Linked DNA regions of Xenopus tropicalis. The protein of the gene in region 1 interacts with the protein of each later gene in a pairwise test. Links are inferred from orthologs where the notes say so. Each region holds a gene or a part of one and is shown in the gene's direction. Other genes may lie near its edges.

What was found.
Region 2: the proteins of keap1 (region 1) and prkag1 interact in binary tests that used the Homo sapiens proteins (3 or more experiments, as listed by UniProt). The two-hybrid records come from large-scale screens. The link is inferred for Xenopus tropicalis from reciprocal best matches to the Homo sapiens genes KEAP1 and PRKAG1.
Region 3: the proteins of keap1 (region 1) and dpp3 interact in binary tests that used the Homo sapiens proteins (3 or more experiments, as listed by UniProt). The two-hybrid records come from large-scale screens. The link is inferred for Xenopus tropicalis from reciprocal best matches to the Homo sapiens genes KEAP1 and DPP3.
Region 4: the proteins of keap1 (region 1) and nfe2l1 interact in binary tests that used the Homo sapiens proteins (3 or more experiments, as listed by UniProt). The link is inferred for Xenopus tropicalis from reciprocal best matches to the Homo sapiens genes KEAP1 and NFE2L1.
Region 5: the proteins of keap1 (region 1) and etf1 interact in binary tests that used the Homo sapiens proteins (3 or more experiments, as listed by UniProt). The two-hybrid records come from large-scale screens. The link is inferred for Xenopus tropicalis from reciprocal best matches to the Homo sapiens genes KEAP1 and ETF1.

What each region holds. Positions count from the first base shown.
Region 1 is NC_030679.2:138,053,243-138,059,847, reverse strand, and holds the start of keap1 (kelch-like ECH-associated protein 1), read left to right. Parts: upstream 1-2,298; 5' UTR 2,299-2,320; intron 2,321-6,605. UniProt on the Homo sapiens protein: Substrate-specific adapter of a BCR (BTB-CUL3-RBX1) E3 ubiquitin ligase complex that regulates the response to oxidative stress by targeting NFE2L2/NRF2 for ubiquitination.
Region 2 is NC_030678.2:136,346,092-136,352,040, reverse strand, and holds part of prkag1 (5'-AMP-activated protein kinase subunit gamma-1), read left to right. Parts: intron 1-1,064; coding exon 1,065-1,119; intron 1,120-1,227; coding exon 1,228-1,334; intron 1,335-1,909; coding exon 1,910-1,991; intron 1,992-3,608; coding exon 3,609-3,667; intron 3,668-4,113; coding exon 4,114-4,159; intron 4,160-4,476; coding exon 4,477-4,531; intron 4,532-4,690; coding exon 4,691-4,817; intron 4,818-4,908; coding exon 4,909-5,074; intron 5,075-5,949. UniProt on the Homo sapiens protein: AMP/ATP-binding subunit of AMP-activated protein kinase (AMPK), an energy sensor protein kinase that plays a key role in regulating cellular energy metabolism.
Region 3 is NC_030680.2:37,998,547-38,005,295, reverse strand, and holds the start of dpp3 (dipeptidyl peptidase 3), read left to right. Parts: upstream 1-2,942; 5' UTR 2,943-3,070; intron 3,071-6,749. Other genes in the region: mrpl11 (39S ribosomal protein L11, mitochondrial), read right to left, coding at 25-147. UniProt on the Homo sapiens protein: Cleaves and degrades bioactive peptides, including angiotensin, Leu-enkephalin and Met-enkephalin. Also cleaves Arg-Arg-beta-naphthylamide (in vitro).
Region 4 is NC_030686.2:11,700,257-11,706,697, forward strand, and holds the start of nfe2l1 (endoplasmic reticulum membrane sensor NFE2L1), read left to right. Parts: upstream 1-1,980; 5' UTR 1,981-2,004; intron 2,005-2,301; exon of another isoform or gene 2,302-2,464; intron 2,465-5,994; 5' UTR 5,995-6,045; coding exon 6,046-6,441. Other genes in the region: copz2 (coatomer subunit zeta-2), read right to left, coding at 1,695-1,718.
Region 5 is NC_030679.2:20,587,576-20,593,524, forward strand, and holds part of etf1 (eukaryotic peptide chain release factor subunit 1), read left to right. Parts: intron 1-1,424; coding exon 1,425-1,600; intron 1,601-5,034; coding exon 5,035-5,174; intron 5,175-5,949. UniProt on the Homo sapiens protein: Component of the eRF1-eRF3-GTP ternary complex, a ternary complex that mediates translation termination in response to the termination codons. The eRF1-eRF3-GTP complex binds to a stop codon in the ribosomal A-site.

The sequences.
Region 1 (6,605 bases):
TTACGCTTATAGGGAATGGTTTTGTTATAATATTGAGAGTGGAATATGTAAGGATAGCAACGTCACCATTCACAAGTCCAGCTCCGTGTTTTCCCTAGACCAGTGCGATGTACACTTAATGCCACCCATCTTCTCAGTGCCACTTGCCTTTCTGTGTGCTGCCCAGCAGCACACAGAAAGCCTGAGATACTCCTGCTCTCTGGGTTCCCACCTGACTGTGGCCCTGCAAAGTGCCAGCTATGACTAATGTGGCCTAGGCATTTTATTTAATTAACCCAAAGATATCAATCAGGCGTTTGGTCCTGATCGCATTCCCAGCTGTGCCTATATCTAGCAGGGAAGGCCCAGACTGGCAATCTGTGGCTTCTGGCCAATGCCAGAGGGGCTACTGTAAGGTGCCATAGTCACTCACTATTTATTGGGCCTATGGGGGGCTGTTTGGGCCTCTGTGTACTGAAAATCAGGCCCAGACTGGCAATCTGTGGGTTCAGGCAAATGCCAGAGGGGCTGCTGTAAGGTGCCATAGACACTCACTATATATTGGGCCTATGGGGGGGCTGTTTGGGCCTCTGTGTACTGAAAATTAGGCCCGGACTGGCAATCTGTGGGTTCAGGCAAATGCCAGAGGGGCTGCTGTAAGGTGCCACAGACACTCACTATTTATTGGGCCTATGGGGGGCTGTTTGGGCCTCTGTGTACTGAAAATCAGGCCCGGACTGGCAATCTGTGGGTTCAGGCAAATGCCAGAGGGGCTGCTGTAAGATGCCATAGACACTCACTATTTATTGGGCCTATGGGGGGCTGTTTGGGCCTCTGTGTACTGAAAATCAGGCCCAGACTGGCAATCTGTGGGTTCAGGCAAATGCCAGAGGGGCTGCTGTAAGGTGCCATAGACACTCACTATTTATTGGGCCTATGGGGGGCTGTTTGGGCCTCTGCCAGTCTGGGCCTGATTTTCAGTACACAGAGGCCCAAACAGCCCCCCATAGGCCCAATAAATAGTGAGTGTCTATGGCACCTTACAGCAGCCCCTCTGGCATTTGCCTGAACCCACAGATTGCCAGTCTGGGCCTGATTTTCAGTACACAATCTGTGGGTTCAGGCAAATGCCAGAGGGGCTGCTGTAAGATGCCATAGACAGTCACTATTTATTGGGCCTATGGGGGGGCTGTTTGGGCCTCTGTGTACTGAAAATCAGGCCCAGACTGGCAATCTGTGGGTTCAGGCAAATGCCAGAGGGGCTGCTGTAAGGTGCCATAGACACTCACTATTTATTGGGCTGTTTGGGCCTCTGGGAACTTAAAATGCCAGGGTCTATTTTGAATCCCAGTCAGGGTCGGACTGGGCCACTGGGAAAAATACTGGTGGGCCGACGTGTAAAACGTATGCATGCTCAGAGGCGGGCATCGGGCTGGGGGACCCTGCCAGGTGAGGGGGGGTGCGGGGGACACGGCCGGGCGGGGGCAGCGGCCTCGGTGGGCCCTGCACCCCCCAGTCCAACCCTGATCCCAGTCCAGACCTGTAGCAGGGTCACATGATCACTTGAAAATTCAGGGACAGGGCTAGAAAATTGTATTTCAGTTTAATTTAAAGGCATCAGTGCTGCCCTGTAACATGTACTAATTAGACCTGTCCCCTGAACTCTCAAGCGATCTGTTTATCCGAGGTGATCTCTGGTTTGTGGCAGCTGTACCTTACAGGGCTGGAAATAAATGGTGCAGGTTCAGGCAGCTAATAATATGGCGACTCCTGACTAAAAAGACACGTCTTTCAGTAGCTTCGAGGGTGGGCGGAAACGCTCCTAAACGCTCCCCTGTGATCTAAAGGCCAACTATATATACCCGCCACTTCAGGCATTTTGTCACAGGAACGGCTTGGAATAATGTCTGCGCCATAGCCATGGGCAACGCACTACACTACTTACCACTAAAACATACATACACGTCTCTCCCCCGCCCTTTAGGTAACACTTTTACGCAATAAGCCAAGCACTTTGTTGTTTAATGCGCAACAGGTGACGCTATAGTTGGCCGGGAGCTGAACCAGAGCCGCAGGTCTCCCCGCTCCGCTGAGCTCTCTCTCCTCACTTTACTTTCACTTCCCTAAACAGTCACCTAAGCAGCGCCCCGCAGCCAATCACAGCCGCCCTTTCTCCTCCCTTCAATAACAATAAAAAAAAAACCCACTTGTAAGCTCCGCCCCTAGTGGTGCGGACGTCATGGCCCCGCCCAGAGGCAGTGTGAGTGACGCGGGCTGCTGCTTAGTCACGGTGACTGCTCCAGAGCATGGCGGGGGCAGCTGGCAATCAGACCGGAGTCCGGTGAGACAAGGGGAAATGGCGGTGCGGGGCCCCGGGAAGTACCGGAGGGATTGGGGAGGCGGGGAGCTGGAACAGGAGAGGGGGCGAGCTGGAGGGATAAAGAGACGGGCGGACGGGAGGGGGCAGGAAGCAAGGGCCGGGGGGGAGTAGGTACTGACTGGGATGATATCATTGGCGAGTAAGGTAGCGCCAACCTGCTGCTCTCAAGCTCTCCCTGAACTACAACTGCCAGCAGCACCTAGGGGTGACTTGTAGCTCAGCAACAAGAGCTGAAGGGCTGGAGCGTAAAGCGCGGTGTGTGTGTCCTACAGGGGGGAATGGGGGACCAGACATGGAGAGAAGCGTAACCAGTGCCTCACACTCACAGCTGTATGTACACTCACTCTCACAGCTGTATGTACACTCACTCTCACAGCTGTATGTACACTCACTCTCACAGCTGTATGTACACTCACACTCACACAGCTGTATGTACACTCACTCACACACACAGCTGTATGTACACTCACTCACACACACAGCTGTATGTACACTCACTCTCACAGCTGTATGTACACTCACACTCACACAGCTGTATGTACACTCACTCACACACACAGCTGTATGTACACTCACTCTCACAGCTGTATGTACACTCACACAGCTGTATGTACACTCACTCTCACAGCTGTATGTACACTCACTCTCACAGCTGTATGTACACTCACTCTCACAGCTGTATGTACACTCACACTCACAGCTGTATGTACACTCACACTCACAGCTGTATGTACACTCACAGCTGTATGTACACTCACACTCACAGCTGTATGTACACTCACACTCACAGCTGTATGTACACTCACACTCACAGCTGTATGTACACTCACTCTCACAGCTGTATGTACACTCACTCTCACAGCTGTATGTACGCTCACTCTCACAGCTGTATGTACACTCACTCTCACAGCTGTATGTACACTCACTCTCACAGCTGTATGTACGCTCACTCTCACAGCTGTATGTACACTCACTCTCACAGCTGTATGTACGCTCACTCACACACACAGCTGTATGTACACTCACTCACACACACAGCTGTATGTACACTCACTCTCACAGCTGTATGTACACTCACTCTCACAGCTGTATGTACACTCACTCACACACACAGCTGTATGTACACTCACACACACAGCTGTATGTACACTCACTCTCACAGCTGTATGTACACTCACTCTCACAGCTGTATGTACGCTCACTCACACACACAGCTGTATGTACACTCACACTCACAGCTGTATGTACACTCACTCTCACAGCTGTATGTACACTCACTCTCACAGCTGTATGTACGCTCACTCTCACAGCTGTATGTACGCTCACTCACACACACAGCTGTATGTACACTCACACTCACAGCTGTATGTACACTCACACTCACAGCTGTATGTACACTCACTCTCACAGCTGTATGTACGCTCACTCACACACACAGCTGTATGTACACTCACTCACACACACAGCTGTATGTACACTCACTCACACACACAGCTGTATGTACACTCACTCACACACACAGCTGTATGTACACTCACTCACACACACAGCTGTATGTACACTCACTCACAGCTCTGTACCATGATATGTACACTCACACTACCCCATGGCATGCATACACAGGGCATGCGGTGTCACCCCCCCCCCACACACACACAATTACACCACTACATCTTTATACAGTGTAGGCAGCAGCAGTGCAAGTCGGCCCCCGCACTACCCCATGGCATCAACACACAGGGCAGGCAGTGCCAATCTCTCCTCTACACTCACTGACACCATGGCATATTTATACAGTGTAGGCAGCAGCAGTTTTACTCTGCCCCCTTACACACACACACACCTGTACCATAGCATGTATACACAGCACAGGTGCCAGTCCTCACACACACACACAGTGCCTTTGTGACCCGCATACACACAAGCAGTACAGTACTAGTTGTGACAGTGTTGGATACAAAGCAGAATACTCCCTTTAGAATGATTGGCTGCTGGGAGCGACACTTTGGGGCATACAGCTGCTCAGCCTTGCTTTCTTCCCAACTGGGTGACTGGGTGCCAAACTGCGCTTTATGGAAGGTGCAGCGCCTCTTGCCTGTGTATTAATCAGAACAACTTTGCTTTTGCCCTTATTTGAAAATGACTTTTAATACGTAGGGGAAACCACTGCCAGCCCTGCACCCAGTACAGTGGCACCCAGTACAGTGGCACCCAGTACAGTGGCACAGGTCTTCCCATTATTCAAGCCTATCATCAGTGCGAGGGTGCTGCCATACTGGGCTGCTTTAGTTGAGAGATGAGACACTTGTCGCACTTGTGTGCTAGAGTTAGAAGAGAGCGGAGGCTATCTCAGTTGTTGTGCTCTGAGGCTGGGTGTGAGTGGAGCCTAATGGCTTCCTGGCAGGCCTGTCCTGATTGGGGCAAAGTGGCACAGAGACCAGATAATAATGAGGTAGTGTATTCTCATTTGTGCCTATAGAAGGTTCTACACTAGGTCCCTGCAGATATTGCCCTGGCTGGACTCGAACCCAGGACCTCAGTGCTACAAAGCAGCTGTTACTTTTTTTTTTTTTTTTATACAAACTGAAATAGTGCCTTGTTACTCTCTGCCACATTAGATGTTCACGTTTCATATATTTGTGTGTTTGGAAAGTAAATCAACTAACCTTTTTTGTCTTGCCTACCTCTTAGTTAAAGGACACGTCAAACCACCCCCCCCAAAAAAAAATACTTTTTACCTTATAAAACAAATATGAGCAACTTTCCAATATGATTTTATTAAAAAGAGTTTAGTGCCTTAAAAGTTATTTGCAAACGTAATTGCCGTGGAAAGCCGCATTTGCTGTTGGTTATGATTTTTAAACAATGTTGCAAAAGGCAGTCTCTTCCAGAATAGACAGGTCTGCCGGCTGGCTTTGTGCTACATTGTTTCAGAAGTCAGAACCAGCAGGGCAGACAATGGCCAATTCTCAGCAACTTTTCGACCGGTCTTCATTTTTTTATCTTTTAAAGTTTTTGAATTATTTGCATTCATTTACTGCCTTTGCTCGGCTTTCAACGGGGGTCACTGACCCCGGCAGCCAAAAGACTATTACTCTGCGAGGCTACAGTTTTATTGTTGTTACTTTTATTTAACTTATTGTTATTTTTACTTATTTGTTCTGTTCAGCTCCACTACTCTTCATATAGTGGTCGCTCTCTCAAACCTCTCCCTGGTTACTAAGGTGAAATGGACTCTAGCAACCAGATTGCAGCTGAAATGTGAAACTGGAGAGCTTTGGAACAAAAAGTTAAGTAACAAACAATAAAAAATGAAGACCAATTGGAAATTGTCTCGGAATATCACTCTCGACATCATACTAAACCTTTGAGGTAGTTTTTTAGTATGATGTAGAGAGTGATATTTCGAGACAATTTCCAATTGGTCTTCATTTTTTATTATTTAACTTTTTGTTTCAAAGCTCTCCAGTTTCACGTTTCAGCAGCTATCTGGTTGCTAGAGTCCATTTCACCTTAGTAACCAGGGAGAAGATTGAGAGAGTGACCAATATACGAATAGTAGTGAAGCTGAACAGAAACATAAGTTATTTAACTTTTTGTTCAGCAGTTCTCTAGTTTATAGTTTTAGCAGCTATCTGGTTGCTAGGGTGCCAATTTCCTTAGCAACCAGGGATTGGTTTGAATGAGAGACTGATACATGAGTAGGAGAAGGCCTGAATAGAAAAAAAAGTTATCAAAAGTAACAATAACAATAACATTTTAGCCTCACAGAGCAATAGTTTTTGGCTGCCGGGGTCTCTAGTCTCACATTTCAGCAGCTATCTGGTTGCTAGAGTCCATTTCACCTTAGTAACCAGGGAGAGGTTTGAGAGAGTGACCAATATATGAATAGTAGTGAAGCTGAACAGAAAAATAAGTTTTTTAACTTTTTGTCCAGCAGCTCTCTAGTTTATAGTTTTAGCAGCTATTTGGTTGCTAGGGTCCAAATTACCTTAGCAACCAGGGAGTGGTTTGAATTAGAGACTGATACATGAGTAGGAGAGGGCCTGAAAAGAAAAAAAAGTTATCAAAAGTAACAATAACAGTAAAATTGTAGCCTCACAGAGCAATAGTTTTTGGCTGCCGGAGTCAGTGACCCCCATTTGAAAGTTGGAAAGAAGACAGAAGAAGAAGGCAAATAATGCAAAAACTATATAGGCAGTTTATCTTTGGTGCGACTAGCATGGGAACTGCTGCTGCTGAACGT
Region 2 (5,949 bases), on another chromosome or scaffold:
GCCATTTATCAACACTGGGCAGTAAGCCATATCAACTAATCTGTTATTAGCTTTTTTTTTTTTTCTTCAGCCAGCTGAAGGTAGAACAAATAGTCAAATGGTTGCCATGGGTAACTGGCCAGGTTCAAAATAAATGAGCCCCAGAATGTAAGTTCTACTCCCACAGTACTGTCATGCTTTTTGCGCCTTCAGTCTATTGATATTTTATTTCCATAAATCAGTATCTTGCCTCAATAATGAAACACTATTATTTGTATCTCCCTTTTTATTGTTACTCTATTTTAAACCTTGTACTTTGAAATAAGTGCAAATATGCATGCTATTTATTTGTTAGTTGAATGGGATATTTTTGCTGTGTTTTTTTTTTAACTTTTTTTGTGTTCGTTGGTTGGCCATTGAGATTTTCTGATATTTATGATGTAATTACTCTTTGCTGAATAAGAAAAAAAGGAAAAAGATGTCTGTGCCCTTTTTTGTGCACATGGACTATTCCTTTTTAAATGTATTTTTTAAACTTTAATGCTGTGATTTCTAAACTGTTGAGTTTGGTTTTTTTTTTATTTTGAGGTTTTTTGCACTTAAGTTCGAAATTCGAGTTAGAAACGCAAATGTCTGGTATTTATTAGCTTACGAGTTTCTATAGAAGTCAATGGGAGTTGTCCTAGGCAAAGTCAAGCCATATTGTTGTATTTGAGTTTGTAATTCGAGATTATGGGTTATATTCGGGTTCAAACTCAAGAATTTGAGGTTTTTTTTAATCGCCCAAGTTTACCACTTTAATAAATAAGCAAACAGTCGATATTCAAATTTAATTGATTTAGAAAAACAAAACAATAAAGTGCTAAGATTAAAAAAAAAAAAAAAAAAATATGACAAAGTACAATTAATACTACCCCTAGGGCCATATTGTGTGCACCACAATTTACTGTGTGTGTTGACCTTAAAATGTTAGGCCAGCACACAGGGAACATTGCAGTAGGGTAGTAACTACAGTAATGTTTCTATAGTCTTCTTTTAATATATGTTTACATTTTTCTGAATTGTAATATCTCTTAATGTTTTAGGGTTCTGTTATGATCGAAAGCAATATGCAGGAGAAATGTGAGCCTGCTTCAGATGGTAAGTACATTTGTAGTAAGCAATACAAAAACTAGAGTAGGGTGGCCATGGAAACTTTTCTAATTGTAGTACATATTTATTTTTAATTTTTCTCTATTTCATACATAGTTCTGGAATCAGACAGTGGAGTTTACACGCGGTTTATGAAGAATCACAAATGTTATGATCTCATTCCCATCAGCTCAAAGCTTGTTGTGTTTGATACATCCCTGCAGGTGAGATCATTTTGTTTTTCTTGCAGTAGAACCAGTATCATGTGTTTTGTGACCTTGGCTTTAGCTGGATGCTTCCCAAACTGGGGGGACGGCTAAGGGGGCCCAGCTTGAAGGACAGTAAGGGTCTCCTAGTTGCTCCTGGAAGTCCTGCTTCAGGGTCAATTAGGGCAAGAAAACAATTGTTTGCTGCCCTAGATGTACTTGGAACTGTGTCTAAAGGACTGATACAACGGTGTATTCATATACAGGTATGGGAGCCCTTATTTGGTTTCCTGTTATGCAGAATGCTTCTGCTGGGAAGGCCATCTCTTTCCTGTAATAATAATAATTCTCTGTAATAATAAATCAGTGCCTTGTACTTGATACTAACTAAGCTGCATAAATCCATACTGGTTGCAAAATAAGCCTTTTTAATATTTGTAATGTTTGAATGCTTTTTGCAGATATTACGGTATGGTGATCCAAAGTTAATAGATCCTATACCAGTATCTGTAACCTTGTAATGAGGAAGCTTGAATAATAAAAAGGCCACAAATCTATTGCTTTAATTATTCAAACCTCTCTTAAATTTGCAGGTGAAGAAAGCATTCTTTGCTTTAGTCACTAATGGAGTAAGAGCTGCGCCACTCTGGGATAGCAAAAAGCAAGGCTTTGTAGGTAAGTGTCTAATAAAAGTATCATGTTAGCATGAGACATGAATATCCTAACATTTCTACTAAGCTGTCTTTCTTTTGGAAGCAGAGTATTCTTTAATCAACAAAATGGCTTAAGTTTTTGATTTGTTCACAAATCACCAAATAAAACAAAGGTGTTCTGTTATTTTCAGTTATAGCTCTCACATTAACCTCTCGGCAGCAGCTGATCATACCTAGCCAAGCAAATGTACATGTTGGATATCATCTGTGTAACTGTAATTTCTACAACTAAAATGTGTTTTGTAGGTCTGTGTATTTATTAGTAATATTAAAGAATATGTAAACCTTTAAAAATGAATGTAACATTGATCAGGGTGCTTTTTTTAAGCACTTCTTTAATTTACATGGTTTGTTTTGTTGTTTCAAAGCTATTAAGCTGTTGTTTAACTTGTAATAAGTTTTGTTAAAAAACAAACAAACAGTGCCACCTACTGGTCAGTTCCTCTGTATGGTCTTAGAGAGAGAGTTCAGAAGGGAAACTGAGAACTCTCTGAAAGTTGCTCTGCTCATATGACCTTCCATTCTGTTTCCTAACAGACTTAACTATATTTCTGTAAACTGAAGGGTGGATTCTTACTTGTAGTGTTTGGTAAGCATGTCTTTGTTAAGGCTGATGCCTCGCAGAGCGATAGATCTTTCCACCAGCAACAACAGGAGTCCATAGTGGAAAGGCAATTGCTTTGGTTGCACAAAGTTGCCTGCAGGAGGAAACCGCAAAGGCCTTTCCATCAGCAATTCCTATTTGTGCCAGTGGACAGGCATTTTGGAGCGGGTGACTAACATGCTTCATGAGAGATCACCCTGATGGGATACTGCAGTCTCAGAATGATAAATCTTTGTAAATAATTGTACCTTATAGACAGACAGCTTCTTTGGATGAACATTTGGCATATGCTATCCTCAAATAAAATATCACATCGGTTTCTTTATTGTGTGTTGGTAACCTTTTCACCATTTAATCAGCGCTCCTGGTTAAAGGAGAACTAAACTGAACCCTAAAAATAAATATGACTTAAAATGCTGTATTTTATATACTGAACTTACTGCACCATCCTTAAGTTTCAGCATCTCAATAGCAGCAATGATCCAGGGCTTCAAACTTGTCACAGGAACTCCCCATCTTGTCCTCTGAGCGGCTGTTGAGAAGCTAAGCTTAGGGGTTGTTGCAAATAATTAAGCACAAAATGTGGTTCACCTGTAATATAAGCTGATGCTACAGGGCTGATTATTAAATTTGTATGCTAATTGCACTGATTTTAGAGCTGTCATGCACTAATTATCTGTATTATTTACAAATCAGCCTATATTGTGACATTTACATTGTATATATACAGTATATTGTGCGTTGGTTCCTAAGCTCAGTAACTGACAGCAGCCCAGAGCATGTGCAGTGAATCAGCAGAAAAGAAGATGGGGAGCTACTGGGGGCATCCTCAGGGGCACAGATCTTCTATGATAAAGGGCTGAGGTTATCTTGGGCTGGTATAGGAGCCCAGAACATAATGTTCAGTATTTCTAACCTACTTCTTTAGTTCTCCTTTATATCTGACCTTTCATCTTTTTAACTTTCCTAATATAGGTATGCTAACCATAACCGATTTCATCAATATTCTCCATCGCTACTACAAGTCACCAATGGTGAGTTAAAAAAGGTGCATCTAGGTATATTTTACAATCTGTTCTTTGTCATTACAGTGGTAAGAGATCCTCAAGTGCATTACTTACATTATATGATATATTATAATATTTATTATATGTTTATTAAACTTTTTAAAGAACACTCTGTCAGGTTTACATTGATCTTTAAATTACTTGCTTACAGGTGTACATTAAATGATTTTGAAAGAAATTCTGTGTTCATATTGTAAGGAAAATAGGTAATTCGAATATGTTGGTGCTTTATAAATAAATGTTAATGTAATGTAATTCACAGAGCAGAAGGTAGAGAGAACAATTCCTTAAAGATGGTACCTAGAACTTTTAGCAATTCAAAGAATGCAACACTGTTTAATGCGCCCTTCTCAGTACAGGTACAAAGGAATCTAAGTTGGAGTTATTCGTTTCATCTAATTTTTTCAAACCAGGTGCAGATTTATGAGCTGGAGGAACACAAAATTGAGACATGGAGAGGTGAGTCTGGATACAGGCGCATACACATGAGCAATACAATTTTTAGTGAATGCAGGATAGGCCTCCACTTTTCACTTATTTTACATATCTGGCATGTTGTACTGCTAGGCTTCATGAAGAAGGTACTGTATTTATTCCTGCATTTACCAAGAGGACCCACTATAACAGCCAACATATTAGATAACAGCAAGTGGCTGTTCATTTTAGGCTTGCAAATGAGTTGTTCAATCATATATTTGCATTGTGAAGTGATCAGTCTGCAAGGGCTTTTGTTTTGTTAATGTTCTGATCTGGATTTTTTTTTTTGTTTCCCCTAGAGCTCTACTTGCAGGATTCCTTTAAGCCTTTGGTTAGCATTTCACCCAGTGCCAGGTAGGAGCCAAGACACTGTTGCTGGGATGGTCCGTGATCTGAGAGCCTAATTGCAATGTTTCATATTAACTATTAAATTACCATGTGCCATAAGACTATTGCAGGGAATATTGTAAATGCACTGAGAAAAGTCTATCTTTTTCTTCCTTTTGTCCTTAGTCTGTTTGATGCTGTCTCATCACTGATAAAGAACCGTATACACCGTCTTCCTGTAATCTCTCCTGACTCAGGGAATACTCTGTACATCCTGACACACAAACGCATCCTGAAATTCCTTAAGCTTTTTGTAAGTCTTGCTCTATTTGTATTATTCCTTTGGCTTCTACACACAGACCTCATTTCATCAGAATTTCTTATTTTATATTTTCAATGAGAAGATGTCTGAAGTTGAGAAACCTGCTTTTGTGACTAAATCCCTAAAAGATCTGCACATTGGCACTTATGAAAATATTGCCCTTGTTCGCCCGGACACTCCTGTATATGTTGCTTTGGGCATCTTTGTGCAACGGCGGGTGTCTGCTTTACCAGTTGTGGATGACTCAGGTTAGTGAAGGATTTCAGAGACAAGTTACAGTCTGTCATTTCCTCCTGTTGCTTTGTAGCTAACATGAGGTACAACAATGTTCCAGCAAATGTTCTGAATTTAGCATTATCCACTTCCTCTATAGGTGCAATAAAGAAGTAATTGATATTGAACAATATAAGGTGTAAAGGAAAATGCCTGTCTCCCAGGGCACTTAGAAAACTGGAAAAATGCTGTAGCATGTCATATATACTCTGCTTAATTAAATCATTGTAAGGATAAGGCCCCACGGATTGTCAGCTTGCATATAAGCACACACTGACACATATGCCCTTACGCTTGAAAAATCTTATTATTGTGCCTGAACACAGAAGCAATGAATCCACCTGGGTGCAGGCACACTCAGCCAATATCTGCCTACATACGCCAAGTCTCGCATTAATTGGCGGATATCGACTGCGTGTGCCTGCACCTGGGCAGATTCAGTTTTTCCGTGTGCAGTCACTATTTGAAAACGTTTTTAAGTGTATGGGCAAATTATCAGTCTGTGCTTATATGCCGGCTGACAGTCTGCCTTGTGGGGCCTTACCGTAACTCTCCTTGCTTCCTAATTTGTAACTCTGTTAAATTGCTTAGGGGAGGTATACGTCCTTATTTAACAAAAGCTCAATATATACAGTATAGGGCTTGTACTTAAAAATACTGTTTGCCTTTTTATAATTAAGAAACATCACTTTCTAAATTTCTCTAACAAATAAACCGTTTCCTGGTTTTGCCAAGCAGATCAGAAACTGGTAAAATGAATTATCAGTCCACAGAAAAGCCTTTTAATGAGCTGCTTAGGGAAGGGAGGTGTTTGTTTATTCAGGGCTCCTTATCTTACTTTGAACAAATG
Region 3 (6,749 bases), on another chromosome or scaffold:
GAGTATTCAAAATGCAGCAGTTACCTGTCCCAGGATGGGTCCAAGCGGTGGTCCAGGAGCTGCCTGCCCAGCTCTCACCAGTGCTCGAATCATGCCGGCAACATTGGCTTTCTTTACAGTTTTTACTGCACGTGAAGCTTTTGACATAACTAAGGGAGAACAAAATTTTTTATTGTAAACCAGAATAACAAAAAGTTTTAATAAGACACTGCTAAAGTGGGAGCGATTCCTACTAAATATTTGCCCCTACTCTATGCTCCATTAAACTACACTTCATTGTAAATGATAATGCATCTAGTTTCCTGTGCTGGCTGCTGCTCTATTATCAATCTAAACTGCTTTTTTTCCCCCAAATGTTAAATAGTTATCAGTGTAAATCTGGCCAACATAAATTCCTTATTCATACAACCTTTCGATTACCTTTATCCTAACACAACATGCTTTACTATCATTGAAGTTGTTAGCTCTACTTTCAGTAGCAGTAGTTGTTGCACAGTTGCTAACAGAAAGAAGTTTTTGACCATATTTTGTCCCATGGCAAGCATTTCTTTATATTATGACCAAAACACACGAAACAAATTTTGGTGCATAGAATTTTGTTAAAATACATACATTGCACACAACAGATTAAAGGGGACATTGCCCTGACCTGTTTTCAGCATTACTGCATTTTCCATAGTGATTCTGATATACAGAGGGAGTTTCAGAGATTAAATAAATGACAGCACTGGCACTTGCTTCATTTGTATAGCATTTCAGATTATTTAAAATGTTATTTCCTCCATAAAATACTGTAATCAGGGTCAGCTGTAGAAATATTTCTGTTAAACTGCCATGTCTCATATAGGGCAGCCCTAGAAAATATAAATCTGCTTTACTTTGGCTAAAGCTATCATAGAACATATAGTTTTCAGTGCAGAGGCAAGAAGCAGATCTAGAGACAGATCATGAAGTAACAGTGATGTGCAGGCTGGCAAAAAGCTGACCAGTAGCCAACCCTGCCAACCCACCTGACCATAACCCTCTGTATTTATAGACCTGCACCCGACCTGCCCCTCTCTGACAGGGCAAAAAATGGCAGGGCACACAGAGTCGAATTTATAAATACTAACATCTGGAGGCAGAGATGGGGCATAGTAAGGTCATAGGCAGGGTGGACACATGGTAAAGTGCAGCCCAAACCCATCCACAAAAGTTGTGTGGATGTTGGCTTGTGGGTCCCACAAGTTCAGGCCAGCACATAACTAAGAAGGTCATAAACTCCTGCAAACATCATAAATGGTGTCTGTCTAGTTTGAATGAGTTACAAAATCATTTTAAATCCCAAATGAAATCAGAGACATATTTTTCAAATGAGAAATAGTTCTTCCTAGGAGTGAAAGTACTCGCACAGTCTTGGCCAAAGGAACATGTTGTGAATTCACAAAAGAATCTTAAAAAGTATCTGCAGATCTGCAGGCCTTTCTCTTCTCAGCTTAGTGTCATGTCTGCAGACAGATTATTTGAAATAATGAGATCTGTTGCAGAAAAGCAAGGACAACACTCACTAGAAAGAAGAAGCGAGCACTCACCTCACGTCTGCCAAAATGCACCTGAATAAGTATGAAGCAGTCAGGGAACAATGGAACAAGATAAATACTAATGGGTCTCTGGGGCTGTAAGGGGAAAAAATCAACAGTCAAGAATGGCAGTTGCATATAATGGTGCAAGTATTACAAATAATTTATTCAATCAATTCTGTTCTGCGGGAGAGTTTTATACAGCAGAATTCCCATCTGGGATCTTAGGCACCAATAATATAATAATTCAAAACACAAAAATAAATCTATACCAAAAATGTAAATGATCTGTAATTGTTTCTAAAGGGGTATTAAAGCTTAATAAAGAAGTAGGGTAGAAATACTGCAGACTATTTTGTGGGTTTCTGTACCAGCCCAAGGCAACCACAGCCCTTTAGCAGGGAAGATCTGTGCCCCCAAAGATGCCCCAGTAGCTCCCCATCTTCTTTTCTGCAAATTCCCTGCACATGCTCTGTGCTGCTGTCACTTACTGAGCTTAGGGACTGACTTAGAATATAGTGTGTGTATAAAATTCAGAATAAAAGGCTCATAAGTAATTAATACATATTTTAGGTGTGCATACCCCATTGTAGAAGCAGAAGGAATGCTTGGGAAACACTTGTACGATGACAACACAGAATACACCAGCCAATATAAACTGTCAATTCTGTCCTTCCAGACCAAGTTGGCAGATTATCGGCCTGTGTATAGGGCCATCTGAAAGGCCTGCCCAACCAATGTCTGGTCAAAAATCTGCCAGATAATAATAGGGCAGGATTCAAAATACCACTGGGGCTAAACTATAAGATCTGTATGGGCAGCTTTAGTTAGAAAGATAAGGGGAGGCATGAATCCGAATTTCCCTGAAATCCCAGGACCTGAGGGACCATTACCACATAAAACAGCATTATTACAGAACAGGGGGCAACTAGCAGTCCCACACGGAAACATGCCTGGGGTCTAAAGGCACTTATGCTATATGACATTTCGGGGACCACAGGCCATAAAGCACTGAATTTCCAGCTGTCTCGAACTTATTGCCATGCACACTCAAGCTACATCTACTTGTACAGCTGCTTACCGTCCCCTCAGTAAGTCAGTACTCTGCAGGAACACGGCACCACTTTATGTCAGTCCTCTTGCACTCCCCTTACGACCTTCATAAGCAGCTCTCCATAAGCACGCAAGCTCATTTCGCTTTACCCGATTGGCTTCTCGGACTTTCTATTACGCTTGTACCATTGGTAGACATACTTGCCAATCACACTCGATCTGTGCTGCCATTGGATAAGCTTAGAGCCTTGAATACCGCTCGCCGATTGGATGACTGCGTTTCATTCTTACTTCAGTACCACTATCTGGGAATTTCATTGAATAGCAGTGACTTTGCTTCTTCACTGAATGGGTAAGGGCAGGCGTTACGTATACATGTGGGCGGAACCACAGCAAGCGTGGTTGGTGCTGTAACCCGGAAGTCTGGTCGTTTCAATTTTTGTCAAAATCCTGAACAGGTGAGGAAATTACATTGTTCGTATTACTTGTAGGAGCTCTAATCATTTGAATGAACAAGGATGGCGAGTTTACAATAAAAAATCATTTTAAATGGTCGCTATCAGTATTTTGAGTCTAAATAGTCCCCCAATGTAAATCAATCAGGGACTGTGATTAATTATAGTACTATAATTCACATAGACGCAGCCTATGTATTTCATAAGTGCTATTAATATCTTGATTTTTAAATATGTATGCAAAAAATAGGGATGCACTGCACCCATCATTTTTGGATTTGAACAGTTACCAAATTGTCCACAAAAGGTTCTTCTAAATAACCAGCCAATTGTAACCCCAATTTTACAACCCCAAGACTGTGCCAAACTGAGAACTGATTTTAGGTATGAAAAAAATGCTTAATTGTGAACAAACCAATAGTAAAAGAAAATGTAACTTTACTTTCCATTATACATTATCATTTTTTCCGGTTATATGCAGATGTAATTGCAGTGCAGTGTAACCTTAAAGTACATGTAAAGCCTAAATTTGCCTACAGTGTATATCAGTTGGGCACATCTCCCCCACCCAAACAGCATACACACACACAGACCCTTATTCAGCATACATTTCATCAAGAATACAGGCTCACACAGGCACAACTGTCTCTGATAAAAGTTCTGCTTTGTTCGAGCTGAGCTCAGGAGAGGAGGTTAGGAAAAAGAAATAGAGCTGAGTTACTATAACCACCAATGCCATCTCTTCATTGGCTGCTAGACTGGGGGGTGTGTTTAGTAATCTGAGTTTAGAACAATTGAGCATGTCTGGCAAGCCAGGAATCAAAGCAAATTACTGAGGGGGGGGGGGGGTTACAGGAGAAGAAGGAAATCCAAGTGATTAAGGAGATGTTGCAGCCTTACGATTAACCTCTGGACAACCAGTGTGGCAGGTACTGAAAGATTTCAAAGAGGCTGTTCACTGATTAAATTTTTGCGTGCAGGGTTTACATGTCCTTTAAAAGGGTGTAACAGGAGTCAGTTCTCCTCTAGGTCTGGTAGTAAACTGGCACCTGTCACCCAGAAATAAAAAGCTCTATAATAAAAGTCATTTTCAAATTAAGCAGGAAACCCTAATTTACTTTTTATTAAAATATGTATCCATGTTATAACCTCATTTAACAAGCTCAACTATCAATAATAATTTGTCTTCCCCACCTCTATGTCTGAGGCCCTGCAATTACTTTCATTTCTGTACCTCCTAGATGTCACTGCACTTCTCACATGCCCCCCCCCCCCCCCTGTCTATAAGTGTGTAGCCTGTGCATGGGCATGAGGTCCTTATTTATGGTACAGGTATGGGACCTGTTATCCAGAATGCTAGGGACCTGGGGTTTTCCGAATAAGGGATCTTTCCGTAATTTGGATCACCATAACTTAAATCTGCTAAAAATCATTTAAATATTGAATAAAACCAATAGGCTTGTTTTGGCTTCAATAAGGATTCATTATATCTTAGTTGGGATCAATTACAAGGTACTGTTTTATTATTACAGAGAAAAAGGAAATCATTTTTAAAAATTAGAATTATTTGCTTATAATGGAGTCTATGCGAGATGGGCTTTCGGTAATTTGGAACTTTATATATTAAACACGATAAGGTGACTTTACTTAATAAAGCAAAAGCAGTTGATGGGTATGTCATAATGGAAAACTGAAAGTCAAGAACGTAAAATTGTGTACTTGGATTTAAGTTAGTGAGTGTGTCAGTGCCAATGCCAGCCATCTCCTGGGCAAAACCATATGAAATGGATAAAGTCTGCCAGCTGTTTTACATGTTTGTACATGTACAAGACAAGAAACTCTTTTGAATATGTTGGTTCTTTGCACTTAAAGTTGCATGTGGTCAAATGTGCAAAAATTCCTCCTTCTTATATTCATTTGTCAAATACGAAGATTTTGATCAGATTTTGTGGGTCAGGTTTTATCCGATCTTGTCATGCAACACCATGAGATTTTATAGAATCCTACAAAATCTGAATTGTAATGTCAGATCAGATAAAGTCAGATGGAGTGTTTTGTTCAAATTCCCAGCTCAGCCATTCCTGATCATTTTTGCAGTGTGCCAGGCCTGCCACACTGACATTAAAGGGGATGTAGGTCACAGAGGATGGGGGATATAGGCAAGTCCGTAAAACGGATACAGAAACATGGGGCAACGCCTGTGAGGAAGGTGCAAGGCTTAAAGCCATCTTTATTTTGGAGAAAGGCAAGTGCAAAACATTTCGGGTAAAAAAGAGATACAGATGACTAATCATATACATGTATGTATAACAAATACAACTCATACTGCATCCCACGTGAGTCAAACACGTTCAATCCAACAAGTTCCACATTGTAAGGTGATAATAGATCCAGATAAATCCAGCCAGTAGTCCAACCAAGAAGTCCAACAATTGATTTGCCCCTTGCATGTTCCACATTAGAATCTCAAGTCCATGTTTGTGAAAAATATTATGAGAAATACAGTCCAAGTCCCAATTTTTCAATATATTTTTCACTAACATGAACTTGGGAATTCTAAAATTGTACAAGCATGGAGCTATTCATTTGTTGGACTTCTGGGTTGGACTGTTGCTTTGGGCTCATCTGGATCTATAACCACCTTACAATGTGGGACTTGTTGGGTTAAATACGATTGTGGCAGGCAGATATAAGTATTTGTTATAAAGACTTGTGTGAGTAGTCATTGGTGCCTCTTTTCACCTGAAGAAGAGTATTCACTCCAAATTGTTGTGCACTTGCCTTTTTCCAAAATAAAAATGGCTACAAGCCTTGCACCTTCTTTACACGTGTTGTCCCATGTTCCTATATCTGTTTGACGTACTTAACCACTTCTACAGTCATTTCGAAAGCTGTTTGGACTGGAAGAACCGGTGGACGATTAAAGGGAGGTTGGTACATTTAAAGGTGTGCTTACACAATTTCTCTACAGGCTTTCAGACAAGTCCTTTAGGGGAGCCTCTTACATTATCTTCCAACAGGTGTGCATGATTATTACGATAGTCAGTAGTTGTCTAAAAACTTTGCATGGCAAGTCTGTCCTTTTCTACTGGTTTCTGGAATATAGACACTTGAATCCTGGTTTGAGCTTTTTCATTTTTATTACTGCTTGGAATTTCTTGTCTTTATTTAGATTTTAATGCTTCTTAAGTCAGCTTATTGCAATTTGTTAAGTGTTATTCAAAATGTTGTTGCTACAATTTTCTTTAAATATGATGTACATTTTCAGCATGTGACCCACTGCTTCTAGCTGTTACAAAGGTGCTTCTCTTGCAGTGTTATAAATGGGACTGTAATGGCATATTCCATGTAGGTTTTAAATTACATTTCAGATGTAGTGCACTTAATGGTACAGCTGATAAAACAAGAATATACTATGACTGTAGGGCCTGTATCTGCAAAAAGATAAGAACTATGGCAGAAATCAAGCCCCTCTATATGATGTAGTTGGATGCTGCATGATACATACAGATGTTGCACTTTGTCTTTGCCATACTATAAAACAATTTGTTCTTTAGCCAAAGTGCAAAGTATGTCAATGTGCCCTGAAGCCTTATTGACAGTGGCAAATTCTCTGTTGCAGCTAGTGGTTATGCTAATGCTTTGTGATTTGCCTATGGCATGTCTCAGATCAGTTTTTAAT
Region 4 (6,441 bases), on another chromosome or scaffold:
GGCTGGGATAGGGTGCTGAGGAGGTGTATAGCTGGCTGGGATAGGGTGCTGAGGAGGTTAATACCTGGCTGGGATAGGGTGCTGAGGAGGTTATTAGCTGGCTGGGATAGGGTGCTGAGGAGGTTAATACCTGGCTGGGATAGGGTGCTGAGGAGGTGTATAGCTGGAAGGGATAGGGTGCTGAGGAGGTGTATAGCTGGAAGGGATAGGGTGCTGAGGAGGTTAATAGCTGGCTGGGACAGGGTGCTGAGGAGGTTAATACCTGGCTGGGATAGGGTGCTGAGGAGGTTAATAGCTGGCTGGGATAGGGTGCTGAGGAGGTTAATAGCTGGCTGGGATAGGGTGCTGAGGAGGTTATTAGCTGGCTGGGATAGGGTGCTGAGGAGGTGTATAGCTGGCTGGGATAGGGTGCTGAGGAGGTTATTAGCTGGCTGGGACAGGGTGCTGAGGAGGTTATTAGCTGGCTGGGATAGGGTGCTGAGGAGGTTAATAGCTGGCTGGGATAGGGTGCTGAGGAGGTTATTAGCTGGCTGGGATAGGGTGTTGAGGAGGTTAATAGCTGGCTGGGATAGGGTGCTGAGGAGGTTAATAGCTGGCTGGGATAGGGTGCTGAGGAGGTGTATAGCTGGCTGGGACAGGGTGCTGAGGAGGTTATTAGCTGGCTGGGATAGGGTGCTGAGGAGGTTATTAGCTGGCTGGGATAGGGTGCTGAGGAGGTTATTAGCTGGCTGGGATAGGGTGCTGAGGAGGTTATTAGCTGGCTGGGATAGGGTGCTGAGGAGGTTATTAGCTGGCTGGGATAGGGTGCTGAGGAGGTTATTAGCTGGCTGGGATAGGGTGCTGAGGAGGTGTATAGCTGGCTGGGATAGGGTGCTGAGGAGGTTATTAGCTGGCTGGGATAGGGTGCTGAGGAGGTGTATAGCTGGCTGGGACAGGGTGCTGAGGAGGTTAATAGTTGGCTGGGATAGGGTGCTGAGGAGGTTAATAGCTGGCTGGGATAGGGTGCTGAGGAGGTGTATAGCTGGCTGGGATAGGGTGCTGAGGAGGTGTATAGCTGGCTGGGATAGGGTGCTGAGGAGGTTAATAGCTGGCTGGGATAGGGTGCTGAGGAGGTTAATACCTGGCTGGGATAGGGTGCTGAGGAGGTTAATAGCTGGCTGGGATAGGGTGCTGAGGAGGTTAATAGTTGGCTGGGATAGGGTGCTGAGGAGGTTAATAGCTGGCTGGGATAGGGTGCTGAGGAGGTGTATAGCTGGCTGGGATAGGGTGCTGAGGAGGTGTATAGCTGGCTGGGATAGGGTGCTGAGGAGGTTAATAGCTGGCTGGGATAGGGTGCTGAGGAGGTTAATACCTGGCTGGGATAGGGTGCTGAGGAGGTTAATAGCTGGCTGGGATAGGGTGCTGAGGAGGTTAATAGCTGGCTGGGATAGGGTGCTGAGGAGGTGTATAGCTGGCTGGGATAGGGTGCTGAGGAGGTTATTAGCTGGCTGGGATAGGGTGCTGAGGAGGTTATTAGCTGGCTGGGACAGGGTGCTAGGGTGCTGGGTAAGTGTAAGCGCACTTGGCACCGGTGCAGTCAGCATGTGGGGCAGTCACTTGACTGCGCAAACTACGCTAGGGAGGGAACAAGCACACGCTGGGGAGGGAACAAGGACACGCCGGGGGAACTCATGGTGCGAATGCCCCTTCCATACCGGCACACTGTCCGTGAAGCTCATGTTTAACTCTCAGGCGCTTCCCGACTACAAGCCACGCCCACTCCCCCAACCTTCCTGTCACTTTCCCTTCCGCACACTGAACATACGCCAGGCGCAGTAATACGGTCGGTAGGCGTGCCGGCGCTACATATATATAAACACTGCGACACCACACAAGGGACTTCATCCCAAACAACCTAAAGTATCGCTAAGGTGACATCACGCCACATGTTGCCGACATTGCGCAACGTCTTTGTTATGGACACGCGTCGACGTCACACGCACTGAAGCTTCTAGAACGTGTGACGTAAGACGCAATCTTTTTGCAAGTCACTGTGAGGCCCAAAGCGGCTGGTTTTCCGGCTTCTAGTTCATGTAGTGTGGTTTTATTCAGGTGTCAGGCATGGTTTGTGTGTCGGCTGCACAGCAGACCCGGCAGGAAGTAGGCTGAGGAGTCAAGCGGGACTGTAAGCTTAGCTTCCTGGCGGCAGTGGGTGATGTAACCGCTAGTAACTTACAACGCTATCGTGCGATTGGCTAACTGCGTGACAGAGACAGCTTGGTGACGTAGCTTTCAGCTATCGTCTTATTGGCTGGTTGTGTTATTGTTCTTTTGCCATTGGTGATCGCTGATGGGCTCAGTACTTCCTTCCTCCTGATTGGCTGCCGCTGCTGGCTTTCAGTGTTGCCGGGTGATGCGGAAGTGAGAGTCTGGAGCTGGGAGACCCACGGGCGGGACACACACGAGGAGAGCGGAAGAGAAACGGGTGGGTGCTCGGGGTCCCCGGACTTGGGGTGCGGGTAGGGGGGCCGAAAGCTTCTAGTCACGGATCTCTATTCTGTTCATCCATTCTACCGCGAAAACTGGTATTTCCCCACCGCGGAAGTTATTGAGGTTATGGGGCATAATGTTAGCAGGCGTGGGGGTGCACAGTTAGGCTGTGACTGAGAGGGGGGGGGGGCACTGAGTCCTGGGGCAGGGGGGGCACTGAGTCCTGGGGCGGGGGGGGGGGCACAGTTAGGCTGTGACTGAGAGGAGCAGGGGGGGTTCTGTCACTGAGAGAGGGGTAACCAAAGGGCAGGGAGTCTGAGTGGCCCCGGGGAGTTTGGGCTTTAGTATTCAGAATAGTTATAATTCCCATAATGATTTTATGTATAATAATTGGGTGGGAGATTATCATTATCTGCCGATCAGAATAATACTTAAATGCTCTATTTCTTAACCTTGGGTCAAAGATTCTGTAGAACTACAACTCCCTTTATGCTTTATTCCTTGAGGTCGGAAAATACTGGGAGTTGTAGTTCACCAACGTCTTGATACTCAAGGTTAATAATCAAGGACTTTACTGTTACATAAATCTCCCTGAATAGGGAGGAGTCACTTTCACTTTGTGGTCTATACCACTGGGGTTATGCAATAGGCCCACACTTGGCTGCACATTTATATTGCTTTCCATGATTTGGTGCAGACTTGTTCCTATGTTGGGGTAAAATAAAGCATTGCCTCTAGGTTAGTGTTGTATCCAGGCCCGGACTGGCAAATGTTGGGTTCAGGCAAATGCCAGAGGGGCTGCTGTAAGGTGCCATAGGCAGTCACTATTTATTGGGCTGGGGGGGCTGTTTGTGCCTCTGGGTACTGGGAATGCCAGGGGGCTGTAAGGTGCCACAGACAGTCACTATTTATTGGGCTGGGGGGCTGTTTGTGCCTCTGGGTACTGGGAATGCCAGGGGGGCTGTAAGGTGCCACAGACAGTCACTATTTATTGGGCTGGGGGGGGCTGTTTGTGCCTCTGGGTACTGGGAATGCCAGGGGGGCTGTAAGGTGCCACAGACAGTCACTATTTATTGGGCTGGGGGGGGGGGCTGTTTGTGCCTCTGGGTACTGGGAATGCCAGGGGGGCTGTAAGGTGCCATAGGCAGTCACTATTTATTGGGCTGGGGGGGCTGTTTGTGCCTCTGGGTACTGGGAATGCCAGGGGGCTGTAAGGTGCCACAGACAGTCACTATTTATTGGGCTGGGGGGGGGCTGTTTGTGCCTCTGGGTACTGGGAATGCCAGGGGGGCTGTAAGGTGCCACAGACAGTCACTATTTATTGGGCTGGGGGGGGCTGTTTGTGCCTCTGGGTACTGGGAATGCCAGGGGGGCTGTAAGGTGCCACAGACAGTCACTATTTATTGGGCTGGGGGGGGGGGCTGTTTGTGCCTCTGGGTACTGGGAATGCCAGGGCCTATTTTGTATCCCAGTCCAGAACTAATAATTCTCCACTATGAAGGAGGGAAGGATAGATACAGGCCCGGACTGGCAATCTGTGGGTTCTGGCAAATGCCAGAGGGGCTGCTGTAAGGTGCCATAGGCAGTCACTATTTATTGGGCTGGGGGGGCTGTTTGGGTCGCTGTGTACTTGGAATCCCAGGGCCTATTTTGAAGCCCAGACTTGGTTGTATGATCAGTATGGGTATCTAACAGCAACCACACAAGTGTAAGTTGTTACTGTAATTGCACTACAATATTCTAGTTGTTTCATTTTGTGTTTGCAAATAGAAATGGATGTTCAAACTATAGTCTTTGTGCGGCATTGGGCTTCCCCCTGCCAGCTGAGAATGCCGGGGGATGCTGGGACTTGCAGTAAAATAGACAGTTGGTATATCTGCTGACTAGGCTATTATTAAAACAAGTTACCACTCCGGAGAGATTGGTTCTTAGCCAAGTTGCAGGAACTGTGAGGCTAGAAAATGAACTAGGTGTGGCTTTGGGCTGGAGAAGTGTTCACCTGCCGGAATGTATATATGAAGCTGGTCTGTGTGTAAGTCCTGCAGTGTAGATTAAGGCGTATATTCCCCCCCCCCCCCCCCAATCAGCTGTGTGTATGTTGGTTGCCTTGAACAACAAGAGACCAGTTTAGAAGTGTTGTCGGGCCTCGGTGGCACTGGAATCTGAGCAAGTGATAATCTTCTGTGGCATTTATCCTGTGAGCCCCTCTCTGAATAGCACACGCCTCTGCATTAAGTCACGTGGATAGACAAATGTATTGGGGGCTCTTGGAGCAGGAAGGGCCGATCTGTGTTTGTGAGGAGATCAGCAAAGAAAAAGATATGTGGATGTTCTAGGGCCAGCTTGGGATAGTGGGTGCAAGTGTATATAGAGAGCTAGGTGCATGTATTATATGTCATTTGGCTTAGATGGGGGCTTTTAAAGAAGAGGCAGCTCTGTGACAATGAGAGGATTACCCTCTGAGCGCCGTTTAGTGGCACAGGCCAAATGGAACGTACCGGATATTCGCTGTTGCTCTGTGTATTTATAAAGCACATAAAAAGACTAACAATGTTGTTTAAGACCCCTGACACAGCCCAGTCGCGTGCATGCAAAGGAAGGGTATGGGGGGCTGTGTGATGGTACTAATCTATTTGTCAGATAAGGTACAAGGACAGTCAGTTAGATAGATGTGTGCGTAAGGCGATTTATATCCTGGAATGCTTTAAACCATAGAGAAATTCCCAACAATTTTTTTCTCTCCTATATAATAGCCCTTTGAAACGAGAGAATGCTAAACTACTACTCCCAGCACTTTTTTTTTATATTACAGGCCAGGCATTTCAGTTTAATATTTTCACTGCCCATTTTTTTGTTGCGGCCCTTAAGGGGAGCAATGAATGAATGGCATTGGCACTACATATGGGTATAAGCTAGAGAATTTGTTACACAAATACACATGGTTTTAGTTGCTTTTATAAACTAAATACAGTGTCCTTGACCACTAATATTAAGGGGTTGTTTACCTTTAAATTCACTTTTAGTACGATGTAGAGAGTACTATTTTGAGCAATTTTTGCAGTTTACTTTCATTTTTTATTTTCAGTTTTTGAATTATTAAGCTTTTCTTTCTGCAGCTCTTCAGTTAGGAATTTCAGCAGCTATTTGGTCTTGTAGAGACTGGTATATGAATAGGAGAGGGCCTAAATAGAAAGATAAGTAATAAAAAAAAAAAAAAAGCTGGAAAGAGTCAGAAGAGAAAGGCAAATAATTCAAAAATGATATAAAAAAATAAAGACCAGTTGAAAATTTGCTGATAATAGGCCATTGTATAACATGCTAAAAGGTGAAACCCCCCTTTAAAGGTGGCGGGGGCAGTGCAGAAGAGGGATATATGAGAAAGGTATTGCATCCTATGGACTTGTTTACTTACCCAGCGTGGAAGTGATTTGTGAGTGCTGAGAGTTCAGTTATGTGATAGGGCAGAGGGTGGGGAGAGGTCTATATGTTACCTAACTGTCTCTATTCTGCTTCATTTTGTTCTAGGTAAAGATTGTGTGTGTTTTGGGGGTCCCTGCTTCTTCGGGGCTCCCAGACATGCTGTCTCTGAAGAAGTATCTCACTGAGGGTCTGATACAGTTCACCATTTTGCTGAGCCTGATGGGTGTACGTTTGGACCTGGATTCCTACCTGCCCTCTCATCTGCCCCCTTTGCATGAGATTATTCTAGGACCTACCTCGGCCTACACCCAGACCCAGTTCCACAGCCTAAGAGGCACTTCCGACGGCTATGGGGTACATCCCAAGAGCGTTGATCTGGACCAGTTCTTCACTTCCAGGCGACTGCTGGGCTGCGTGAGAGCACTTGACCGCTTGACCGTGCCAAGCACAGAAGTAGATGCCTGGCTTGTACACAGGGAAACCGAGGGATCTGTGTCAAGTGCACAGACTGGTTCCAGCCGTCCCTCGGACAGCCCACAGGATCTTAACAGC
Region 5 (5,949 bases), about 120 Mb from region 1:
TGCTCTGGAGACTGGATCAATAGTAGAGTAGTTCAGCTTCCATGTGGGTGTGCAGTTATCACTTAGGTTAGTTGCACACACAACCTGCAAAATATTTAATGTAGACAAATTCCTTTACAGTGTTGACAGGAAGTCACCAATAACTTTTTGTTAGATGTAGAGAGTGATATTCTGAAGCTGCTTGCAATTGGTCCCTTTTTATTTTTCATTTGTGTTTTTTTTCAATTATTTAGCTCTTTGTTCAGAAGCTCTTTAGTTTGGCATTTTGGCAGCCATCAAGTTGCTAGGGTACAGATTACTCTAGCAACCAGGCAGTAGTTTGAATGACACTAGAATATAAATTGGAGAGGCCCTGTATAGAAAGATAAGTAACAATAAAATTGTAGCCTCACAAAGCTAGAAGTTTTTTGGTTGCTGGGTTCAGTGTCCATTTTTAAGCTGAAACGAGGCAGAAAAGCAAGGCATATAATTCATAAACTATAAAAACAAACCTGCTAAGAGTTGTCCATTGTATAATATATTTGCCATTTCCCATGGGTGAGAAATCTTTTTTGTGCCATTGCCCTAATTAAGCTTTCTTGCTAAGAAAGATATCATTTTATGTTAATAGATGTTGTTATACTGCCTGTGTGTTAAATGTTTAGTTGTTTTCTGGTACATAAATATCTTCCCAAATTATAGATAGGTGTTTGTTAAAAATTTCTGTGCTGCACTTATTTATACACCTAATTTAAAAAAGTTAACTGTTTTTTTTAAAAAGTATTTGCAGAAAAGTAAAAACTAAATTAATTTAATCTAAACAAGTAATTGAATATTCCAATTAGTTAATACTTTTGGTTAAAGTATTTCTAAAACAGCACAAGCATAATTTGTGTGCAACAAAAAGTGAATTTCTTACATTGTATTGCAGGTAATGTGCACCTTGTAGTAGTTACATTTTGTAATGCACTGCAGTAGTTGTTGAGTAAGTCATGTTAGTTAGTTAGTTAATGTATTTAGTTAAGTGAATGGGTTAACAGCCCTGTTTCAGCTTAATTGTGGCTGATCTAATCATTGATTTGTGCATAGTGCTATAAATAAAATCCTCCTTGCCTGTTTAGTAAAGAAATATGTTAATTACAAGCCTTATTAAACAAACTAAGCATACATTATAGGCCTATTTTTCAGCATTAGATAAATGTATCTTATGTTGGAGAATGCCTTATACTTCATGTTTAATTTGGAAGCATTTCCCTTTTAGCTCTCCAATAGTATTATATTATGGTGCTATTTCATATCAAAATCTAGTTGCGACTAGTTTGTCAAGCAAATAAGTGAGTAAACATTGCTAAAATGTACACACAGCCTTAGCTGCAGTGCTTGTTAATATATTCTTTGTTAACGCTAACTTTTTTTTTTTTTATTTACCTCTTAAATTTATATAGCAATGGTACCAGTATGATATCTTTAATCATTCCACCCAAAGACCAGATTTCTCGAGTGGCAAAAATGCTGGCTGATGAATTTGGTACCGCATCTAACATTAAATCACGAGTAAACAGACTTTCGGTCTTGGGAGCAATTACATCTGTGCAGCAGAGACTTAAACTCTATAACAAAGGTAAGAAATAGCTACAAGCTTTTATATTTAGGTTGTCTGTGTTAGAATCAGAGTTAAACTCCTTTTGGTAAAGGAGTCAGTGTCTTTAGTAAATCTATGCACAAAAGGAATGGTACATACAATTAAAAAAAAAAAAAGCATATTTAGGCTTCATCCTGTGTAATAGCCAAAAAGAATTGTAGTGCCACAGCAACCAGAGAATGCAGAGTGAGCAGAAATGTTACGCAAGTCAGGACTGTATATTAAGGTTATGTAGGCAATAGTTCCTGACAGAGAGCTGGGAGGTGTATTAATTAATTATGAACAAATTTTGTTTAGCCTATTGGCACCAATGGCCTGGCCCACAAAAGGTGGTACCCTTGGCATGGGCCTTCTGGGGCCTATATGGTAAATACAGCCCTGATACAAGGCTGAAAATATTTAGTCTGTAAGAAATGTGTACGTTCAAAGAAAAGGCTACACTAAGGGCAGTGGTACATGGGGAGATTTGTCGCCCGCAACAACGAAGATTTGTCGCGGGGCGACTAATATCCCCGTGTGCCACTGCCCTTACGTGCCTCTTGATATCTTTACTTTCACCTCCTCCTGTTTATGTGTATATGTGTGGAATTTATAATATACACAGACACAGTATATATACAGAAACTCAACATTTTTTTTAAATGTTAGTAACTTGGGAAACAAACTGGAAGATGCCATTTTACATCAGGGATATTAAATTGTGTATTGTGGAAGCTTAAATTGGACTTAACTCTTGTTGTTTTATAAACAGTTCAGAATTCATAATCTATTATATTCAGGAAGTTTATTTCAGTGAAAATTATGTTAAATTGTCATTTTCACTATAGATCCCCCTTTAATATGATGCACTGATATCTACAGGGAACTATATTTTCTACTATAGTATTGTGCAGTATAGTGTAAGAAAATAAACAACCACATACTATGTCTTTGTTCCTATTTAGATGGTGGGAGAATTTTTTTTCATGTGATAAACAGGTTCTGGGTGGTATAAAGAGATCTCCCAGTACTGTGTCTTAAGCCATTGTGTTGGGTAAGAAGACACCCAGCCCCCAGGGTCTTTTGTTTTTCGCATTAGAGTGTGCATATGCTGCTGTTTACTAAAAGTACACTCTTCCCTGGACCTTTTGTTTTTACAAATTAGAACTGGTAGGCTACTAACCTAGTGGCAAAGTGAATATATCACTATTTCCGTATTGGCCTAAACATATGAAAAACCTACATTTTTAGATTCCATGACACCAGAACACATATTTTTTAAGACATCTAAGGCCACCTAAGCTTCATGTTAGAATTCTACTATCCTCCAAGTGAGTTTCTTGCAGAAGTATAAGATAGGGGTCTGTTTTATTTTTTTTTTTAAAGGAACAGTAACACCAAAAAATGAAAGTGTATAAAAATAATTAATATATTATATACTATTGCTCTGCACTGGTAAAAGTTGTGTGTTTTCTTCATAAACACTACTGCAGTTATATAAATAGCCTGCTGTGTAGCCATGGGGGCAGCCATTTAATTTGTAAAAAGGAGAAAAGGCACAGGTTACTAAGCAGATAACAGATAAGTAGCAGATTCCCATTGTATTCTACACGATTTATCTGGTATCTACTTATGTAACCTGTGCCTTTTCTCCTTCTTTCAATTTAAATGGCTGCCCCCATGGCTACACAGCAGCTATTTCTATTAACTATAGTAGTGTTTCTGAAGCAAACACACAACTTTTACCAGTGCAGGGCAACAGTACATTATATTTTAATTATTTTAAAACATTTTTATTTTTTAGTGTTACTGTTCCTTTAAGACACTGGAAGACAAGCCCCCTTTTAATTTAAGGTCTGGTGTTCCAGCAGTTGACCAGATTATACTTTGATAACTAGAGTACAATTTTACTCTGCAGGTTAAAATATACCCCATATAAAATGTTTCAGTAATGAAAAGACATGAGTAATTCTTCCAGCCTTCTGCACCCCTGCACTGGGGCCAGACATTTCATATGGCTTCACAGCAAACCTTCATTGGAATTAGTAAGAAAGAGGGGAGAAAACTTAAAGGAGAAGGAAAAGCTAATTAAGAGTTAATCTCAAGCTGCAGGCATACCTTCAGCTCCTTCAATAGTGCCCTTAGGGCTGTGGCACATGGGGAGATTAGTCGCAGGCGACTAATCTCCCTGTGTGCCACAGCCTTTAATTCTCCCCATATTTCTCCCATTCAGATGATCAGAAGCCTCATAGGAAAAAAAAAAATGCTGAGCTCTGTAAAGAAAGTTCCCACAATGCCTCGCTCCTGCACAGAGACCAAGACCCCTGTACATGCTCTGTTTGTAAGACTATGAGAAAGCTTCCTGCTGATTGGCTCAGATCACACATTCCTAAGCGGAGGGGAGGGAGTTTTTAGCATTCTTGAGGGAGGGGGGAGCAGGAGAGGGGAGAGAGCTGCATGTCTCTGGCACAGGAAAACGGACAACAAATCCTGTTTCTTTTGACAGAAGTCAGTACAGCATTTCTGTGAGTGCTTATGGCTGTATTTACATAGACCTTTCTGATAAAGCTTACTTGGTTTTTACCTTTCCTTCTCCTTTAAAACCATGAATAGTAAGGTGAACATCAGTTTAGTAAATAGTAAGTTATTTACTAACTTAGTGGTCAGACAAGGTAAGAGTTAACTGTTACTAAGCTTGGTGAGCATTATTATTAAACTACAAACTAAACTTTAGTTGGAGGAACACAAAGTCATAGCTGTAGGTTGTGTCACAGCTTAAAAACCAGGGTAGCAGTCAAACCAGTGGTAACTTGTGTAAACTAGTATGGGATCTGTCCCTCTATCATATATGGAAGGGTGTATGTTAGGATGCTATTAACAAGGACAGGGGTTAACTTTATTATTGGCCTCATTCAATCAGTGTTGGATGGAAGCTTCTTCTATTTCCTGCCCCCATCATTTGCACTTGTGTGAGCAAACAGGTTTTTTTTACTTGTTCTAGGGTGTTCTGCAGTAAAGTTAGGTAGCTGTGATCCAAATTAATTTCCATGTACCATGTAGTATTGATTTGATGTCAGAACATGATGCCCATCCTGCGACAACCCCTCTTAATATTCCCTGGTACTGTAGTTCCTGTGGTCTCTCCCTCCCTCTGAATGAGTTACTGGTTATGTAACTCACTGGTATTTACTGTATCATGTAACTGTTTGGAATCACACTATCACATAGTGCACTTCTGCATTTTCAATGTTTTAGTGCCAGAGATGCACATTGAGTGGAATTCTGGGAGGAAAATCTGCATTGTGAGAAACACTTAGCAATTTGCTCTTTCGATGTATTGCATTCACTCATGCATGGGAAATGAATGTAGTAAACTTCTACAGTATTCACTTCAAAATGTTCTAACCTACTCCACAATTTTTCTTTTCTTCTAGTTCCCCCTAATGGTCTGGTTGTTTACTGTGGAACAATTGTAACAGAGGAAGGAAAGGAAAAGAAAGTCAACATTGATTTTGAACCTTTCAAACCAATCAATACCTCTCTCTATTTATGTGATAACAAATTTCATACAGAGGTACATACAGAGGTGTTTTGTTATTTCAATGTCTGTCAAGAATTCTAATGCGCTATAGACCTCTATTACATTTATGTTTTACATACACACAACACACGTTCCTTAGAGCATGTGAAAAAGTTGTACAGATATTCAACCCGTTGTCTGGAAACCCATTATCCAGAAAGCTCTGAAATACAGGAATGCCATGTCCCATAGACTCAATCAGATTTTTCATTGATTTCATTGATTTTTCTCTCTTATAAAACAGTAGCTTGTACTTGATTCTAACGAATATATCATTTATCTTTAGAGGCAAAATCTTGTTGATTTTAATACTTAATTGTTTTTTTTTTATAGTAGACTTAAGTTATAGAGATCCAAATTATAGAAAGACCCCTTATCCAAAAAACCCCAGGTCCCAAGCATTCTGGATAACCTGTCCATACCTGTAGTTGACTGGTTACTAGTATGGATTTCGTTTTACAAAACATTGTGAAGGTATAGACTGAAATTTACTATGTGTCTTGCACCCCTTATGTATTTATAAAATATTTTTCAAAATATGCTATGGGTTTTTGAGACGTGTAATAATCCAGATTTGCACTTAGTATGTACATGTACTTAGTATGAGCAAAAACAGACAGTACCAACCTCAATATATAGCTATATAATGTATGTGTATACACATAATAGATGTGTGTATATATGGGCTTTTTAAATGTGCCAGAGTGTTTATTTAATTGCATTGCGAATACAGTGTTCTAAGGTTCTTGGGTTTTTACTAAGAAAACCA